2 linked regions of the Oryzias latipes genome follow. The protein of the gene in region 1 binds, or shares a complex with, the protein of each later gene. Links are inferred from orthologs where the notes say so. Each region holds a gene or a part of one and is shown in the gene's direction. Other genes may lie near its edges.

What was found. The genes of interacting proteins can lie anywhere in the genome.
Region 2: washc5 (region 1) and washc3 share a complex: the UniProt entries of both Homo sapiens proteins name them as parts of the WASH core complex. The link is inferred for Oryzias latipes from reciprocal best matches to the Homo sapiens genes WASHC5 and WASHC3.

The regions. Positions count from the first base shown.
Region 1 is NC_019874.2:13,947,098-13,950,129, forward strand, and holds the end of washc5 (WASH complex subunit 5), read left to right. Parts: coding exon 1-104; intron 105-221; coding exon 222-384; intron 385-492; coding exon 493-595; intron 596-681; coding exon 682-761; intron 762-841; coding exon 842-945; intron 946-1,165; coding exon 1,166-1,295; intron 1,296-1,385; coding exon 1,386-1,482; intron 1,483-1,589; coding exon 1,590-1,743; intron 1,744-1,819; coding exon 1,820-1,907; intron 1,908-2,051; coding exon 2,052-2,108; 3' UTR 2,109-2,532; downstream 2,533-3,032. Other genes in the region: nsmce2 (E3 SUMO-protein ligase NSE2), read left to right, coding at 2,885-2,999. UniProt on the Homo sapiens protein: Acts as a component of the WASH core complex that functions as a nucleation-promoting factor (NPF) at the surface of endosomes, where it recruits and activates the Arp2/3 complex to induce actin polymerization, playing a key role in the fission of tubules that serve as transport intermediates during endosome sorting.
Region 2 is NC_019881.2:17,524,751-17,528,054, forward strand, and holds the end of washc3 (WASH complex subunit 3), read left to right. Parts: intron 1-372; coding exon 373-486; intron 487-585; coding exon 586-650; intron 651-748; coding exon 749-848; 3' UTR 849-2,650; downstream 2,651-3,304. UniProt on the Homo sapiens protein: Acts as a component of the WASH core complex that functions as a nucleation-promoting factor (NPF) at the surface of endosomes, where it recruits and activates the Arp2/3 complex to induce actin polymerization, playing a key role in the fission of tubules that serve as transport intermediates during endosome sorting.

The DNA.
Region 1 (3,032 bases):
CACCAATCCACCCACATCCCCATTCCTAAGTTTCCCTCTGTGGATGAATCTGCCACTTTCATCGGCCGTCTGTGCAGAGAGATCTTGCGAATCACAGATCCAAAGTATGTCCGCTCAGAGAAACCCTATAGAGTAGCCTCAAGGGAATAGGTGGTGGAAGGTGGATAAATGAGCTTTTTGCCATCTCCAAAGGCAACTAGATGAACAGGTTTTCTCCACAGGGTTACCTGCTACATCGACCAGCTGAACACCTGGTACGACTTGAAGAGTCACCAGGAGGTGACGAACAAAAGGCTGTTTTCTGAGATCCAGAACACTCTGGGTACATTTGGACTCAACGGACTGGATCGACTTCTGTGCTTCATGATTGTCAGAGAACTTCAGGTTGATTTTACTTCCCGTGGAATAAAACAACACCCTGAATTGAAAAATATTGAGGAAGTTGAACTTTATTTTGTAAAATTCTTTTCAAATCGTTGTTTGTGTCACTAGAACTTCCTGACAATGCTTCAGAAGAGCATCCTGAAGGACAAAGCCTTGGTGGAAGTCTTCAAAACTGTGCTGGCTGCAGTCAACCCAGTCCAAGGCATCGTCGGTAAATTCTTGTTCTCATTCATGAAAATGTATAGCCAAAGTCATGTATTGGTATTAATCATTTGATTGTGTATTTTGGCTATATAGCCAATGCCAGCAAAGCGTACACGAGTGCTGTGGCCAAATCCCAGAAGATCTGGGGTCCATACCTGGAGGCCATCATGAAGGTAAATCAAAACATTTATGATTTTATTTTTCGATATATCTGCTCACGTCATGAAAATGATGTTCCATCCCTTTGTTGTAGGTCGGTCAGATGCAGATTCTCAGACAGCAGATTGCCAATGAGCTTAACTTCTCCTGCAAGTTTGACTCCAAACACCTGGCAGCTGCCCTGGAAAACCTCAACAAGTAAGTGTTGTGTTTTCTGCCAAATTCAGGCTCTTTTTATGCAGTTTTGTATGGAAAATATGTACCTAGAGATGTAGTTCACGAGGTGTTTCTCACTTTTTTTTTTTTTTAGAATACATTCATTTCTAACAACTGATAACATTTGTTACTATAGCATATTGTGTTTTTGTGAGCTTAAGGCTACATTTTGCCACCTGTTGTGATCTCTTCTTCTTGTTAGGTCTCTTCTGGCAGACATAGAAGCACACTACCAGGATCCATCTCTCCCTTATCCTAAAGAAGAAAACACTCTATTGTATGAGATCACTGCCTACCTAGAAGCTGCTGGAATTCATAACCCGCTCAGCAAGGTTTGCAAGGTTTTATTTTATTTTAATTAGCCTGTTAAAAATGCCACATTTCACCAGTAAACAATGTTTATTTCTTTTTGGTTCAAACAGATTTACATCACCACAAAGCGTCTTCCTTACTTCCCCATCATCAACCTCCTGTTTATCATTGCTCAGCTGCCTAAACTTCAGTACAACAAAAATCAAGGTGCGTTTCACTTCTCGCTATCTTAGCTTGATGGATTGGAATCTGTGAATTTCTGTGGTGACTTTTTCTGTGTACACGCCAAGTTAAGGATTTTCTCTGTGTAAAAGGAATGACCTGCAAGAAAGCAACCGATCCTGTCGACTGGCCCCCACTAGTGCTGGGTCTGCTCACCCTGCTCAAGCAGTTCCACTCCAGATACACACAGCACTTCCTTGCTCTGCTTGGACAGTTCATCCGCTCTGTTATGGAGCAGTGCACAAGGTAACTAAAAGTTTAACATTTTGATCAAACCCATTGTTTGCAGTTTTCTTAAATTTGTCTTTTACTGGTGTCACAGCCAGAAAATCCCTGAAATGCCCTCTGATGTTGTGGGGGCCCTGATGTTCCTTGAAGACTATGTAAAATACACAAAACTGTCACGCAAGGTAAGAAAACAGTTACTTTAGAGGTGGTTTATTTTAAAGGTATCTGGAAGAAAAAGAATTGCTATGTCATGCTAAGACAGCTTGTTTTTACAAACTTGAAGGATTGTTAACATGCATTTCTTTTTATTATCTATCTGTTTTAAGGTGGTTGAAGCTCATGTACCCAGTTTCATTTTTGACGAATTCAGAACTATTTTGTGAGCCCCCGGACAAGGACATCAAACTGAAGATGCAGTCTTTGTTTGTACTGTACTTTTCTTTGTTTATATTAGTCTTGATCTAGTGGCAAAGATTTTTGTGGTAGAAGCAACAATCATTTTGCTCTAATTAATTGTTCAGAAATTAGGATGTGCTTTTTTTCCCCCCATATACATTTCATGCCCAGCCTTATAATCTGTTTCTGCAATGTTATAACAAAATGTGTTTTGTTAAAAATACATTTTTATTTCAACCAGAAAAGGCCACAATGTCAAATGTAAAAAAGCTTCAAGAAGTAGTTCATATTTCATTTTCTAGAACAATAAAGTTTTGTATTAATAAACTGTACATTTAATGCTCAATCAAAAACATTTCCATACTAATATTTTGTGGTATTGTTTATCAATAAATACAGTATAATTCTTTACTGCTCGTTGTTTTCTTTATGAATTTATTTGATGGCTTTTAGTTTGAAGAAACAAACGGAAGTGAAACTGTAACTTCCGTTCATCTCAAATGTTTACTACTTTTCTTCCTTTTCCTTCTTATTTTTTTGTTATCGTTTGATCTTTGGTTGTACTTTGAATTAAGAATAGTTACTTATCTTTTTTGTTTTTTTTTCTATTTTGAGATACATTGGCATATCTCATCTTTTCGCAAGACGGCGCGAGTATAAGGCTAGCAGTTAGCTAGCTAGCCGTTAACATAAGGAAGATATCAATAACGGTGAACACACAGTGATTTTTCTTTGGACTTTAGGGATAAAAGTTACGAACACAATGTCTCTGAGTGCTGTCAACGGCGCATTGTCCAATTTAAAATCGTGTTTGGCAGACATTGCGACGGGGATGGACATCGTGACGGACGTTGCCATAGATGTGGTGGAATCTCAGGGTAAACATTCGGAGCCTGCATCATTTTCTGCAA
Region 2 (3,304 bases), on another chromosome or scaffold:
TTTATTTACTTATTTATTTTTTAAAATTTAATTTAATTAAAATAACCAAAGTGTACTTTTGAATTTAAAACTGTTCACTAATTTTCTCAATTGTTTTTAATTTTACTTTGTGGTTTTTCATTCCCTTCAAGCTGATCTCGATTTGACCCACATATTTCTCTTTTGTAGTTTTGAAATTTCCAATCTTGCTTTATTTACACAACAAATAAGGAACCAGTTAGTAATATAGACTGAATAGCAGGGATCTGGTTGCCTGTGTGCGTTACAGAAACATTCTGAGCATCTGTTTAGTGTACAGATATTATTTTCGCCATATTCATCAGGATTATAGTTTCCTTTAAAGCTGCTTTTCAACGTTTCTTCATGCTTCAGCCTCAGGAGGCACGACAAGAAGCTCCTGAGCAAAAAGCAGCAGCCGTTGCAGAGAATGTCCTCACAGTGGCCAAAGACCCACGATATGCCCGCTACCTGAAAATGGTTCAAGTGGTAAGTTATTATCTGATGTAAATGTTTAACAAAAGTCATATTTTGTTCAGTAATTTAATGTATTATTTTATGTAATGTATTTTTTTATTATTATTCAAGGGTGTTCCAGTGATGGCCATCAGGAACAAAATGATCCTGGAGGGTTTGGACCCCAGCCTACTCGAGTGAGTTTACATGGTTTGGTGAATAGCAGCGCTCCTATTTTTTTATCTTTATTCCACTAATAATGACAAAAATGTGTCCTCTTGTCTTTTGATAATAGCACGCCGGATGCCCCTGTGCCCGACGGAGCAGGAGCCAACACAGAGAACGAAGGGGCTGCTGCCTCCAGTTCTGACAGTGAATCTTCCTTCAGTGACTGAAACCTCTTTTTTTATTCTGCAAAACGTCCTGTAAGGTTCAAAATGCAAGTCTGCCTATAAAGAAACACATTGCAAAGAATCCAATCAAGTTTGTTAGGTGATTGTTTATATCCATCTGAATGAGCTGCAGCATTTTGATCAATGTTTAAAATGATTTGAAAAATATGTATATATATTTTGTCTATTCAAGAAAGCAGAAAGAGGAAGCTTTTTGAATGAGTTGGAGCACTAACACCACCTGCCTCACATTGTGTGGATGCCCACTTGTTCTAATAATAGCAGGGGGTCCCTCGTATTCTGTAGGTTGGGGCTGTGTAGCATCAGAAATCTGTTTTCCCAACTGTTCCTGAATGTATATTTTTTAGCTATATATTTCAGAGCTATGAGCGGAACTTTGCATCCTAACTGATTCAGTCTATAAAAAAGGTAGAATTGTCATTTATAGCTAAGAAATGAATACATTTGAGTCAATCTTTCATAGCATTATGTCCGTAACAGTTTTCTGCTTTTATATATGCGAAAACAGATATGTAGGCAGTTTTTACCACGTCATAATCATATACGTTGTGATATTGAAAAATTGCACTTTTTTTGTTTGTTTTGTTCATCATTTGACAATTTATTATTTTAAATGCTATTATTTTTGGTTCTGTATATAGGTAGAGGGGAAGCCAATCTTCCTTTAGGAGCCAATATCTTAAAGCCCCACTCCAATCCTCTTTTGATCTAATTTCACAGTGTTTTTATTTTATTTTATCTTTTTACTCTAATTATGTAGTTTTTAGCCAAAATCAAAAAAAAACCTGTCGTTTTCTAGGACATAGTTCCTGCAGAGCGGCAGGAGAAAATTGCCTCTTAGTTGTGAGGGTTGAATCAACCTTGCCCCCTCCCCATTGCCGCGACCTTTCTGTTTACACCAGGAATGGGGTCCTCCACATCATAAGAGAAAGAAGTGACATGGGATTAACATATATATTTTAAAGCTGAAAATCTTTGAATTTTTATTTCAAAGCTGTGACTTTTTTTTTTCTCATTTTAGAGCCAATTGCACTGATTGCACTTTCCTCAGGGGAAAACGCAGACTTAGAGAAATGCTGCATTCATGCAGAGTTGGAATGATGTGAAAAGTGACTGTCCAACTCTGAAAACAATCATAAATGATCAGAAATCAGAAAAACAACAACAAAATCTTCCTACACCACATGAATGTTCAGTAACTATCTGCACCCAGACAAAGATCGTAGGGAGCTTGCGGTCCGTCCAGCGTATAATGCAACTTTTTTCAAACAACATTTTTTAATTTACTCTTGATTGACAATGATTTAACAAAAAATACTCAGAAATTTTCTTTTATACATTCCATCCATCATCAGAAAAATGGCACAAGAGCATGTCAAAAACAATTTTTATTGGAGTGCGTCTTTAAACCCTTGGTATTCCTAATCAATTTGGAATTAAAGACAAAAAGTTCATTTCAAGCCCATCCTGAATGTTGAATGATGAAAAAAACAACACAATTAATGTTTCATCCTCCTACTTTTTCCCCTCACAAAAGCTGCTGATGTCTGGATTAAGGAAACTTGCACTAAATTATCACAAACTGTCAAAATAAGTTTGTTAAACTGCATTAGGCTCGCTCATACTCTGATTATATTGATCAGAACTTGTTAACAGATGTGTAGAAATGTGCCAAGAATGCTGTTAGGCTCAAAGAAAATTGTGTAATTGTTCAGAAAAGACTTTATAAAAGAAAAAGACTGTTGAATGTGTAACTTTCTCTGAATAAAGATGCATACAGTGTTTTCAAAATCTTTTTTTTAATTGGATTTAGTTTGCAGTACATCATATTTTAAGTACCAGTATAAAAACATTTCTTTATTCATGATAAAAAAATCAACTTAAGACAAACTGAAATACAGAAGCAGTTTACAAAAAATACATTTTTTTTCAATACATATTTGGTGATTTAGCAGTAAAATGAGCAGAAACGATAACAAAAAAGTAGTTTGAAAAGCTGTCATTCTGGAGGCGGCTACAGACCTTTTGTTTAAACGAACGATACAACATTGCAAGTATTTTGAATAAAATGTGGCAAGACCTAAGGAGAGCTGTGATAAGATAAGCAGCTAAAAAATCTCCACAGGTAAGCCGTGCAAAAAACAAATAAAAAAAAAACACTTTGTGTTGCATAAATGTAGCTTCTAAAGCCATCTAATCCAGCAAGTACTCCATTTTAAAAAAAACGATTTAATTTTTTCCTTGTTCTTGATATGATGTACCAGAAAGAGTGAACAAAAATGATACTAAAACACTGTAATTCTGTTAAAATACAAGTTTACTCTGCTCTTTATGGCAATTGACAGTACATTCATTATTCCTCTATTTGAAGAGTGTTTGCAGTGTAGCACCTGGTTTATAAAAGAGGAAGTAGCTGAGGAGAAAGTCAGAAAACTGCA